Linked DNA regions of Caenorhabditis elegans. The protein of the gene in region 1 interacts with the protein of each later gene in a pairwise test. Each region holds a gene or a part of one and is shown on either strand. Other genes may lie near its edges.

The links.
Region 2: the proteins of pqn-87 (region 1) and hmgs-1 interact in a two-hybrid assay, tested with the Caenorhabditis elegans proteins (one large-scale study listed by BioGRID).

What each region holds. Positions count from the first base shown.
Region 1 is NC_003280.10:12,217,874-12,225,059, reverse strand, and holds the start of pqn-87 (MATH domain-containing protein), read left to right. Parts: upstream 1-3,426; coding exon 3,427-3,467; intron 3,468-4,417; coding exon 4,418-4,530; intron 4,531-4,670; coding exon 4,671-4,765; intron 4,766-5,016; coding exon 5,017-5,202; intron 5,203-5,394; coding exon 5,395-5,669; intron 5,670-6,211; coding exon 6,212-6,350; intron 6,351-7,186.
Region 2 is NC_003283.11:5,681,110-5,687,510, forward strand, and holds hmgs-1 (Hydroxymethylglutaryl-CoA synthase), read right to left. Parts: upstream 3,481-6,401; 5' UTR 3,479-3,480; coding exon 3,374-3,478; intron 3,330-3,373; coding exon 3,201-3,329; intron 3,151-3,200; coding exon 2,998-3,150; intron 2,952-2,997; coding exon 2,726-2,951; intron 2,680-2,725; coding exon 2,445-2,679; intron 2,398-2,444; coding exon 2,209-2,397; intron 2,155-2,208; coding exon 1,943-2,154; intron 1,894-1,942; coding exon 1,754-1,893; 3' UTR 1,612-1,753; downstream 1-1,611. Other genes in the region: prp-39 (Pre-mRNA-processing factor 39), read right to left, coding at 86-318, 371-566, 1,099-1,176, 1,460-1,521; F25B4.4 (Elongator complex protein 6), read left to right, coding at 3,779-3,948, 3,994-4,114, 4,171-4,431, 4,482-4,586; F25B4.7 (ADP/ATP translocase), read right to left, coding at 4,770-4,889, 4,937-5,183, 5,232-5,305, 5,373-5,479, 5,529-5,760, 5,859-5,974, 6,037-6,061. UniProt on the Caenorhabditis elegans protein: This enzyme condenses acetyl-CoA with acetoacetyl-CoA to form HMG-CoA, which is the substrate for HMG-CoA reductase.

The sequences.
Region 1 (7,186 bases):
GATTTTCAGCGATTTTTCGCCAATTTTACTGTAATTTTTGTAAATTTTCTACACAAATATACAACAAAAATACCCGGAAACACGTGAGTAATCAGAAAAATCATTTTGACCCACTTGAAACCTCCAAAAATCGATTTTTAGCCAAGTGTCGCGCCCGTCAAATATTGATCGGCTTATGGACTCTTGTTTTTAATCATTCTTCTTTATTTTCAGCTTCACGATGTGCTTTTATTGCAGAATTATCATCTATTGTTTCGAAATCTCCGCGAAAAATCGATATTTCGTTGGTGGGAAACGTGTTTTCGCATCCACCCGCGCTTTTCCATTATTGTTTTGCTTCATTCTTGTTTCCTCTGATATTTGCTGGATTCCATCACTGTTTCGCTGTTTTTTCTAGTAGCAGGTCTGTAGAATATATCTGAACATCTGGTAAATTTCTTACGGTTTGTTCGTTTTTCTTGGAGAAATTTCTACCCAATGTGCTATTAGACACGAATTGGCTCCAAAACTACTCAATAAAGTTGCCGGAGTTGTTCCGAAACCGATCAATTTTCTTATAATGCACGAAATGTGAAGCTTTTCCATCATGTCACCTAAAATTTGTCGCAATTGCAGAGCCCGCCGTTTTTCTGCTAAAATAATTGTTCAAAGTTCAATTCTCCCCATCAATATTTTTAAATACTGATGCTTGAAGAAAACCATGATTTCTTTGAAATCGGTCTTCTGGACGTTTCTATGGAGATTTTTATCGAATTTCTTGCGAATCTATATTCTAAATGCCTATTTCTTCACAGTTTTTCCACTCCCAGAGCCAATTTCTTAGGATTTCACTGGAAAATCCTTATGCAACGTATTGTATGACGTATGTTCTCGGAATCTATATGGGTGTAAACGGTCAACAAAGACCAACGCACTGAAGGATTATAGGTTCTCGTTGAACTCGATTTTTTGGTTTTTTGAGTACTATTTCCAGTACCAAAACGAAATTCCTTGGTGTGTTTGTCGCTGAAGAAAAATGAGAAGAAGATACCGTAATCGTTTTCCGCCATCTCTATCCGTTCCTTCGTCCTTGCCACTACTTTTTTCCCCATCTTGTGGCCAGTCTCAGACAGTCAGCCGATCCATTCTTTCCACGACGACGACGACTCCTTTTATAACAACCATTCGAGAATCAATCCAATTCGCGAAATTGGGGTTTTTGATCCGCCCGCCGCTGTCACCTACACAGGTTTTTCGCCTTACTTCGTTCAAATGAGCGAGAACTTGAGGGGGGAAATGAGAAATTCTCATTTTTTGGAATTTTTGTGCAAAAGTGTCGCATTTTTTCAACAAAATATCCCAGTTTTTCCAATTCTCGGGGATTTTCTACGGTCACAATACGGCATATTTATATGAAAATTACGCCCGGAGGTTTTCCTATGTCACGGCCAGAAATAGTCGAATCATTGATTATATTTTTCTGAGAACGGCAGGAAATTCTGGAAAAGAGTACATGATTTGAATTTCCTCATTAGGAAAATGCAAGATTCCTTGGAAGATTCAATTTTAATACTACGGCAGTGTCCATTTTTCCGTTGTTCTCGCTTTAAATCATATTCAAGTGGTGGCAGGTTGTCCCATCACGGTTTGATCTACAAAAAATTGCGAACTCTGCGGCTTTTCTCCCGCATTTTTTGTAGATCTACGTAGATCAAACCGAAATGAGACACTCTGATACCAGGTGCATATTTCGGTTTTGTTGTTCCTAAATCCTTAAAATACAGGATGTAGGGAGGCACGGTCGCCTTTTTCCAATTTTTTTTGGGAATTTTGTTAGATGCCGAGAAATGGTGTCGGTTTTTCGATTTTTGGAAAATAAAAACTATATAAAAAAAATCATATTTTGGTTAATTTTCTGAGCATTTTTAGTTTTTTATCGAAAATTTTCGATTTTTTATAATTCGAAAAATCGAAATTATTCGTTTTTCGACTTCAAATCTTAAGATTTTCCCTCAAAAAAAAAAAATTTTTTTTTTGTTAAAAAATCTTAAGTTTTTTTTTCAAAAATGTCGAAAAATTAAGTTTCTCCACATGATCGTACGATTCACAGGACCCTCGATGATGCAACTACTACTACTACTTCTGCAGCTACTGCTGCTGGCGGCTACTTGATCGATTTCCGACGTGTCTTCTTCTTCTTCATCGTGTCTCTCCATCCCTCGCTTCTCCTCTTCCCCGCGTCAATGTGTGTCTATATGACCGTCGGTTGGTCGGTGTCGCCCGACTGCCCCCCGACCGCCGCCGCCAATAGCATCAGCAGCAAAGACTTGTGCGTCGTTTTCCCTCAGTCTCTCTACTCGCGTTCGGTTTATCCGACACGCTGTCTCGTGCTCTCTTGGATTGTCGTGATCTCTCTCTTCGCCGCTCGCTCTCTCTCTCTTCAACAATAGTTTTTGGGTCGTCGTATACCTCCTCCTTCTCCGGGTCTCTAGTAGTCCGCAGATTGTCTTCGTTTTCTCCCCCCATTCCGTTCCCCATCGATTTACGAATTGATTGATTTTTTTTCGACTCGTTGCGGTCGGCTCGGCTTCTCTTGTTTGCTCGTTACTTTTGGACTCGTGGCGAACTTTTTAACGGGAAAATCTTCTCATTTAGTGGTAGATAGTCAGTTTTTTTAAGTCAATTTGAGCTGCGATGGAGTAAATTATCTGCAAAAAGTCACAGAATCCCAAGAATTTTCACTAAAATTTCAGAAATGTCGGTAATTTTTTTTCATTTTCAGAAAAAAAAAGCATGATTTTCTTTAATTTTTAAAAAGTGAAATTGTGTAAATTCAAAGTTTTCGCACAAATTCGAATATTTTTCACTGTTCAGTCCACTAAAAATTTGAAAAAAAAATTTATTTTTTCTATGAATTCCACACTTTTCGTGGTTTTAAGCGATAAAATTGCGAAATCTGCACGAATTTCGCTTTTTCGCAGTGAAATTCAATTAAAATGTGGCAGTTTACAGCAGAACGCTAAAGGTTTGAGCTTTATGTGAAAATTGAACACCTGTCGGGTCTCGCCACGAAAATTAACCTGATATCTGAAAATACATAGTTTGTTGAATTTTGTACTCGTTAATTGCGATTTTCCGAGAAAATTGGTTTTTTTTAATCGTAAACAGTCGCTGCGGGACCCAAAAGGGTCTAAAAATCTCGGATTTTTCCCCATTGATTTTATTCAAAATTCTCAGCTTTTCTCCTCTCCAACCCCCAAAAAATCCTTCAAAAACCATCAAATTTTCCAGTAAAAAAACACCGTTGCGATCGATTTTCGACTCAAATCAACCGACGAGCAGCAGCAGCAGCACCGTATTCAATTGCAGTTCGTTAGTTGCTTGAAAGCGCGAACATCTAAACCCCCACGGAACCCCCCTATACAATCCAAAAAAACCACACAAAAAATGGAAGGACAAAGTGAAGTTATTCAGAAGAAAAAAGCCAGGTAAGAGAGAGAGAGAGAAGAGACGCAGAGAAACACGGACTGATGAATCATTATGAATAGAATCGGGCCGTCGTCGTTGTTGTGTGTGGGTGTGTGTGTGATATGATGAATTACCAGTCACACAACTATGTATAAGGATGTATAACCGAACCGGTTTCTGCGGAACATTGGTCTTTTGCACTGAGAAAGTGAAAAAAAAGTCCAGAAAACTAGAAAAAACCATTGAAAACCAATTTTTCCACAAAAATTACAGAAAATTTAACTATTTTTCACATTTTCCTCTCAGACTGCAAAATGCGTGGAAAAATCTATTATTTTTGATAATTTGTCGTTAAAAATCGATATTTTTCATCTTTTTGTAAAAATATCACTGAATAAAATATCACTGAATGAAAAATGAATTAAAACACAATTTTTCCACAAAACTACAGAAAATTGGATTATTTTTCACATTTCCCACCGTTTTGAGCAATTTTTTCAATATCGAAACTCCAAATTGCTTGGAAAAATTGTTTTTTCCACGCATTTTGAAGTCTGAATACTGAAAAATGCTTGAAAACAGTGGGAAATGTGAAAAAATTCCAATTTTCTGTAGTTTTTGTTGAAAAATTGATGTTTAATGTTTTATTCAGTGATTTTTTTTACAAAAAGATGAAAATAAAATCGATTTTTTAACGAAAAACAATCAAAAATTGATGTTTTCCTTCATTTTTGATTTTTTATTCTGAAAAAGTTGCATATTTCACAGGAAAATTAGTAAAAATTGATTTTTCATCTGAAATTCAAAAATTTCTAGCGTTGAAAAATCGATTTTTATTGGTGAAAAACGTTAAAATTACCGAAATAATGTTCAAAACCGCTAGAAAATCATAAATTTCGGTTATTTTATATGATTTTTTGGAGAAAATCGCATGTTTCTGCTACAAAAATCCTCAAACTCGATATTTTAGAACGAAGACAGGCTGTGATGTTGGATGTCAGACGGAGCAAGGAAGTCCCAGTGTGTTTCAACAAATGAGCCAGCTGATGTCCTCGTCCACGTCACATGTAGGCACAGGCGCAGGTAATATAATTGCTGAAAAATTGGTAAAATTCGAGAAAAACCCGAATTTTTGGACGATTTTTGCTTTAAAAATTTATGAAAATTGAAGAAAATGCGACATTTTTCGCGTTTTGAAGCATTAAAAAAAATCAAAATTTCAGTCGACACAACATCGTCATCTGCATCTGCTTCCGGAGCATCCACGCCAGCCAATCAAGCCGCTTCCTCGTCGCCAGCACCATCGGGAGCCCCAGCAGTGAGTTTTGAGCGAAATTTGTTCAATTTTCTGTGTAAACCACGCGAAAATTGCGTAAAAATCAGATAAAAACACATCAAAATTGTTGATTTTTGGGCAAAATTCACTGAAATCAACGATTAAAACTATGGAAAATTTGACAATTATCAATTTTTCGATTTTTTCATGTTTTTTAGGCATTTCCCGGCGGTTTTTTCGAGAAAAAGGAATTCTGAAGTTAAAATTTTGAAAAAAAACGAGAATTTTTCCAGGCCGATAAGAAGCTAACCGGACCGGCAGGCGTGAAGCCCAACGAAATTGAAGCCTATTTTGGTGAGAAGAAGCCGCCGAGTCTGAATAGTTCGACGAACACGACGCAACCACAGCAGGCAGGCCAGACGACACAGAAGGCTCGTGCCGCGTCGACGACTGGCGTCGTTGGTGAAGGAAAGAAACAGGTTTGCTAGTTTTTTGTTTTTTTTTTTTTGCTGAAAACCAGGAAAATTTCTTATAAAATAAAATTTTGAAACGGTTTTGCGATTAAATTTCAAAAATTTAAAAAAAAAAGACTTTAAAAAGACAAAAAATCCCAGAAAATTAGATGAAAATCCATTTTTATTGAAAAAAAATTCAATTTTCGCCCCTTCCAGAATTCGAACGCAAACGCCTCCTCATCAAACGCCGCGGCCGGTGCGACAAACGGAAAAGCCGTCGATGGACCATCATGGAACGACGAGAACTGCAAACTTCGGCTCGTAATCAATCGATTCTCGCAGTTGGAGGAGACAATGTGCTCGCCGCCAAAATCGATCGAAGGTGTCTCGTGGAAGATAATGGTGATGCCGAAACAGCATATGGTTCAGAAGAAACAACAAAAATGCATGGGATTCTTCCTGCAATGCGCACCCGAAAGAGCCTATTCTGAGTATGTTGGAGAGCCCGGGAAATTCGAGAAAAAAACGCGAAAAATTGTATTTTAACTGAATCTGTGTCGAAAAAAGTGGAAAAATACTGCAAAACTGGGCGAAAATCGCATTTTTGGCCTGAAAATTGTCATGTTTCGATTTAAAATGCTCAAATTAATAGAAAAATCGAAAGTCGAAGTTTCCAACTTCGAATTCCCAATTTTAAGCTGAGTTTACCATTTTCACGACTGAAATTTTGCCAAAAATTACAAAAATTCACATTTAATGCTTCAAATTACCATTTTTAATACAAAAATTTGCTGTTTTCGCCATTTTTCTTGGCAAAAAACACAAAAAAAATTTAATTTTCGGTGAAATTTCTTGAAAAATGACATTTTCCGCTTCCAAATTACCATTTTTAATACAGAAATTTGCTGTTTTTCGCCATTTTCAGGGTCGAAATAATGCCAAAAATCCACATTTTCTGTGAAATTTCCCACCCAATTAGCATTTTTTGCCATTTTTTCCCAACAAAAACCCCGAAAATTCACACTTTTTCCAGCCAATGGAGCGTCCACGCGATAGCCGACATGCGAATGATCTCGTACAAGCCAAACGTGCCCCACTTTGCCCGACGAACGACACATACGTATACATCGAAGGAAAACGACTGGGGTTACTCGTGTTTTATGACTTGGGCGGTGAGTTTTGAGGCGAAATTGATCCATTTAATGTGAAAATTTGACTAAAAATTGAATTTCATAAGTTTCAGGCGAAAAATATGAAATTTCAGATTTTTTTCAATTAAAAATACCACAAAACCGATGATATATTTTATAAAAATGGTTTTTTTTTTTTTGAAATTCCGCCGAATTTATCTCATTTTAAAGGTGGTGTAGTCGAATTTTTTATTGATTTGTTTGATTCAAAATTGTCTGAAAACACCGAATTTCATAATGAAACTTCTTGAAAACTTCTCAAAAAAAAAGTTATGACGGCTCACAAAATTGCCTAAAATTAGTTAAAATTTGAAATTTGACTTGTCAAGCGGCTGGAAACAATTTTTTTTTTGAAATCACCGTCAAATTTTGAGTATACAATGTAATTATCTTGCGTTTTCAACTCTGATTTAGGTATTTTAAAGTCGATGGACGGCGAGATTTGGTTTTAAAAAATTAAAAATCTCGCCGTCCATCGACTTTAAAATACCTAAATCAGAGTTGAAAACGCAAGCTAATTACATTGTATACTCAAAATTTGACGGTGATTTAAAAAAAAATTAGTTTCCAGCCGCTTGACAAGTCAAATGTCAAATTTTAACTAATTTTAGGCCATTTTTTGAGCCGTCATGACTTTTTTTTGAAAAGTTTTCAAGAAGTTTCATTATGAAATTCGGTGTTTTCAGACGATTTTGAGTCTAATAAAGCAATTTTTAAAAAATTCGACTACACCACCGTTAAAACATCTGAAAAATGATGATATATTTAATTAAAATTGAATTTTTGAAATTCCGCCAAATTTATTTCATTTTAAGCCG
Region 2 (6,401 bases), on another chromosome or scaffold:
ACAGTAACTCATTTTCAGCGTGGCGAGACCCATGCGCGTGAGAATTGAGACGCCTGTGTAATATCTGAATGAGGAGAAAACCTACTCTCGCAAGGATTCTGGCGGGAAGTTCTTGATATTCTTCACATCTGCAGTATATCCGAGCCAGAGATCAATCGAAAGCGGAATACTGATAATTCCTTTTTCCCAGACAGCTTTAGCTTCGGCAATATTCCCCATCTTCTTCTCGTATTCGGCGTATTTCTGCCAGAATCCGTAACAATTTGGATATCTCGAAAGGAAAGAGCGATACTTTTCGCGGGCAAAATCCACATCATCCTGAAAATTGTGAAAATATAAAGTTAATCGTGCCACAAAAAGAATGCCGTACACTCTGATCCACTTTCGCAAGAATGTTCACCCAATTGTCGAAATCAGCCACATCAATTGGAGGAGTACCGAAATGGCTTGCCACAGAAGGTCGAGTCATCAACGAGGTATCCTTGTAATCTGATCCATGTCGGCTACTACGACTCCGTTGAGATCCTCCTGTTGTTCTATGACGATTCGAGTTGGAACGAGAACGGCTGAAAGTTTGGTTAGTTAAAGTAGAGTAAATTATTTCGAGTTTCTTCAATGTGCATGCAAAAACATAGAAAACAATTTTGATAGTACGAAATTAGAAATATTATCATGATTATTATTATTAAGCTTCTTCGTGTTGCTCAAAACCGTATTCATCCACAGCTTTTGTGTGCTCCTTCCCATCAGTTGACGCTAAACGCTAAAGTCGGATTTAAATAAAAAGTACTAAGCGGCGGTTTATTTTATTTATAAAATGTACACAAAATAACACAATTATTATCACTTTCTCATTTGAGACTCGGAGAGTGGCGAAGAGCGGAAATGAACGCAAACCTTTTCTGTAAAAATGAGGGCTTATGCAACGTGTATGTTTGTTGCCGAGAATTCTTTGTTTTTTTCTGATTTTTCATTGTTTTTCATCAGAAATTAACCCTTTTTAGAGTGGGAAACGTCCTAATCCAGAAAGGGAAAAGAACCCGTGAGTGTTGACATCATGAGTACATCATGCAATCCAAAACTAAGAACACATCGTACCTTCTCCTTCGTCGATCTCGATCTCGATCCGAGTCCCGATGCCGATCGTCGCGACGGCGGTGTGAATCTTCTCTTTTTCTGAAATTCTAATTTTGGATGGTTTACTTCTGAGGGGCCGATGGTGCCATCAGGATTTTTTACTAGGCATGTTTCATGTGAAAAAATTCAGGAACGGTGAGATATGAATTTTAAGCGGCGAAATTTCAGAACCGAGCTTGCGGTGAGTTTTTGAAGATGCTCAGAGCAGTGGTTTCGTGGGGCTCACGAAGCTTCCCACAAGCTGTTCTGGAATTTATATTTAACCGCTTCACATCATGGTCCTCCAAATGAAACATGTTTCGTTCAAAAGTCCGGTGCATACCTGCTGCTGCTGGAGCGGTAGTAGTCGTCTGTGTCCGAGCTTGACGACCGATCTCTTCCCATCTTAACTTTGAAATTAAATTGAGCCGTTCGAGAAATGGAAAATATTGTCGTGACAATAGTACACGTGTTCAACAAAATCAATTATCAGAAAAAAACAACTCGTTTTAATTTAAAAAAAAGAAAAGAAAATACAACTCTAATGAGCGAATAAAAAACAGTAACAAAGAAGTAGACTATGGCAAACGATGTGATAAAATTAAAAACTAAAAAAAAAAAAACAAAAGATACATTTTTAATGATGAATTCCGTTCCCGTTTTGAACACCGTTTGGTTCCTCGTGTAAAGTATATGATCGGCGATAAAGCTTGTCCATGTTATCAAGGAAATAAGTGTTGGGAAACAATGAAGTTTCGGATGGAGATTTTGGAATCTCTGAAAAACAAAATGACATTAAAAACCAATCACTATTAGAATTACTCACCTTTTGATCGTAGGAAAACTTCTCTTTTTTGTAATGTTTCTGTAAACTCTTCTGGAGTAAACTGAATTCGGTCATCGAGCCTTTTAATCGCCCTTATTGCGACTTGACGAATTTTATCAAGATTAGATGTCTGCCTAACTCTTCCTGGGAAAATTGCTGACGCTAGACCACTTCCATAGGCGAAGAATAAAATGCTTTTCTCCCCGGTGACGCTGAAAAGTAATTTTAAAAATTAGCTCTAAAAATCGGTATATTCTTCATCATACCAATCATCTGCTGCCAAGTATGCTAAAAGTTGAGCAAAGAGTGATGGAGTATACATATTTCCGATTCGCCTGTTGAAAACAAGATATGGATCTGTTTTTTCCTTCCAAACTTGAGCAGACAATTCGATCATTTTTGCAAGTCCAGCGCGATCGTTTTCATCGAGTTTATGATCGACACCATTTCCATTTCTGAATAAAATAAACATTTGAAAATTTTTCTAAACTAATCAACCTACAATTGCTTGTGACGAAGTTGCGAGTCAGTATAGTTCATCACAGCCAGGCCTTTTTGAACCATTTTCGTGAACGGTGAGTGAAGAAACACTCCGTCAAATGAGTTCAGCCCGTCGATACCCGTTGTATGGCGATTAACTTTTGATATGAAATATGTGTATGTCATTCTGACTGCTTCCAAATATGAGCTCAATGATAATGATCCATCGACAACGGGGTATTCACTCGGAATCGGCGCTGGAATTTAATTTTTTAAAAGTAAATAGAGAAATTAATAGCTTACTAATTGGCTTAAAGAAATCCCACGTGTTTTTCATGTGACACGCTGAAAACTGCCGATCAATCGGAATAGAAGCATCTGGACAAATAAGAAAAGCAATCGCTCCTGCACCGCCTGTACATCTCGCTGGACCTTCTTCATATATTGCAATATCCGCGACTACTACAATTGCGTTTTTCTTATCAAGCGGATGATTCACTGTGACCCAATCGATAGCGTGCAGCAGTGCCTGAAAATATAATTGAAGATTCTATTTTGAGAGACAAAAAACTCACTTGTGCGCCTCCAAAGCAGGCATTTTTGATGTCGACTCCTTCAATATCCGAATTTCCAGGAAATAAGTCCATTAAAGCTGTCTTCACACTTTTGCTCTTGTCGATCATTGTTTCGGTACCTACAACCAAACAGCCAATCGAATCAGTCGAGATCTAAACACACTGAAACTGAGGAAACTAAGTACTTTGATAGCGAATATTACTTTGTAAGTTTCAATAAGTTTCCTTGTGACTGTAAGGGAGATGGATACGATGTCCTCGTTGTCCGAGCAGAATCCCATTTGCTGTTGCCCCAGTCCAATTGTGTATTTTCCGCTGGATACATTGTTAAACTGCAATTTAGGAATCAATATTGAAGAAATAATGGTATTAATACCTTTTCTAAATCATTTTGATCGACAAAGTTCTGGGGAAAATACAACTCAATTGCTCCAATTCCAACATCCGTCACTGGTGTATATGACAATTGACCCAAGCTCATGCCTGCAATAAACTCTTTTTTAAATGTGAATTGCAAAAAATCACAAAAAACGATGATTTATCGACGAAAAGTGTTCATTATGCAAATTTGCCAAAAAAACAGTTTTGAAATATCAAAATGCCCGTAAATGTCGTCGAGGCAACGGCTCTTCCCTGCGAGACCCAAGGGAGGGGAAACCGATTTACGAGTCATTTGTACTCCTCTCGGACAAACTAAAATTGTATCATTTTCATTTTTCTGCAAAACTTCGTTTTCTTCATTTGATTTCATACAAAAAAACATTTTTCAGAAAAAGAAAAAATGCTGAAAATTCTAAAAGGACAAGAAGAGTCAATTAAGGGCTTGATTGTATGTGAAGAAGTGGATAACGCGTCGTCACTCCCATTTGTTCTTCATTTCCTTTCTACAGCTTCGACTTCAAGTCAAAAAGTCGCTATTGTTTCGACCAAATTGTCTGAAACAAATTACAAGTGAGTAAATCTTTATAAAATGGAAAGTAAAACTAATTGTTATAGACTGATTTGTTCGAAGGCTGGAGTTCGATGGAATCCCACTCAAATTAGTTTCTACGATTTCTTGAAACCATTCGAATTATTTGATATCACCTCTGAACAAATTATGGACGAGTTGTACAAGGTATTTCAGCATATATCTTTTTTCGAATAAAAATTGTTTAACTCAAAATTTTTCAGAAATTAATTGATTCCTCTGCGTCAGTTATTCTCTTCGATGATCTTTCAATATTGGAGCAATTTGGAGCAACTTCAGTTGAAACTACCATTTTCGTGCACAAAATCTACACACATTTAAAGACGTTATCACAAGAAAATGCGCTTCTTCTCGCTTCTTTCTCTATCCATTCGAATGCTGTGGATATTCTGAAACCCCGCTGCCACGTATTTGTCCAGATGTCGCCAGTAAGCCATGGTTTTGGAAAAGATGCATCAGCAAAGGTTCGTGAAATCTGCAATATTGTCGTTCATTAGTTATTGTTGAAATTCAGGCGGTGCTCACTATCAAATCACCATCTGCTCCAACATCAACGAAAGGAATTCTTCTTTCCGGTGAACGCACAATCAATGGATCATATATAACTGTGGATCAGTGATCTTGTTTTGTTACTGAATAAAAAAAATGATTCAAAAAAAGCTTTTCTTCGTTATCATAACAGAAAACAATGGGCACAGGCTTCAACATACAAATTTACACGTATTTCTAAAAGAGCCTGATTTTCGAACAAATAAGAGAATGCACTAGAAATTTTAAAGATTATCTATATTATGGAAGGTTGTCACATGTACTTCTGAAGTTCATTGTAAATCGCCAGAACCAATGCTGCACCAGTTCCACGAATCGCGTTCACCAGGGCTCCATGGAAAAATGCCTTGGGTCCTTCCTTCGTGTAAATGTACTGAAAATAAATAAATCTTTGTCCGAGAAGCAATTAAATGATCTTACTTTGATGCAGGATATTGTGTTATTGAACGGTAACGTCTTCTTTCCAGCACCCATCATCAGTCGTCTTCTTACAGTATCCAGTGGATAAGATGTCATTGCAGCGATCAGAGTGACGACTTGTCCAACAAGAAATGCTTCAGTAAATGTCATCTTTCCGTCACTATTCATATATGGAGCCGTTGTATCGAACAGACCATAATATGCTCCTCGATAGATAATCATGTATTGAAGCGATGGAATCAGACCTCTGAAAAATAAATAATTTGAAATCAGTTACACAAAAAAAATCAGTTACTTGTATAAGCCTGGAACTCCGTCACTTTTAATTATTTTCTTAGCACAATCGAACATTCCCGTGAATTCGCGATCCTGAAAACATTGAATCGTTAGAAAATTTAATTAATTAAAAAAAAAAACTTTTAAAAGAATCTTTTACCGATTTTCTCTTTCCCAAATCGATGGCCAACCTCGTTCTTATAAAATCAAGAGGATAGATGGTGGCAAGAGTAGCACATCCTGATCCACCTCCAGCTACCAGATTTCCTGAAAAATACAATTAAATATGCTTAGCCATCGTTTTCATTAAACCAACCTACTAACCATCTGGAGTGTTGTGTTTTGGGATCAACTCCTTCCAGACTGTATTTCCGGAAAAATTCTTTAAAAGATAATCCTAGAGATTCTTGACTGCACGATCTTAATATATTCACCCAATTTCCTCGCCAAAATGAAAGGAATCCTTGTTCTCGAGGCACTCTGATAAAGCAATCCACTATTCCTTTATATCTATTTTCTAGAGCTAGCGTTGTCTGCGAGTTTTGGAGCTGAAAAATGCAAATTAAAAAAATGATGCAAAAGCTAATTTTATGATTTCAAGTATTTTCTACACATCAAAAAATGCTCAAATTCACTGAAAACTTACTTGTAAGATTAGTTTGACCCGTTCCACTGGAGCAATCACTGTTTTTGAAATTGCAGCTGCTGTTGCACCAGCCATGAAATCTTTTGAAAACTTTATGACGTCATCTCTCGATACACCTGAATTTAAATATTTTTAAAACTTGAATGTTAATAAATTAATTAATCAAATGAAAACTAACCTGGAACTGCTGTGTACACCGACATCTCTCGTTTTTATATAATTTTCACTACGAAGGTTTGCTCTACGTCTACGATATTTTCTGTAAGAAAATTATATTTAACTTGTGTAATTAAGAACGGAATAAAGACGAGAACTTGGCGATTAACTAGTCATGAATAAATACACGTGACAATCAAAGGAAACCAAAACAGCTGACTGCTTGAAGAGATTTTACGAAATTTTGACAAAAAAACTCGGCTAAAGTTTTTTTGAGGAAAACGCGCTCCAGTGACATGCATTAGAGAGTAAAGAATTAGAGAAAAAAAGCATAAAGTATGAGAGTGAAATGTAAAATCGAAAATAAAATTACTTCGATTTTGGAAG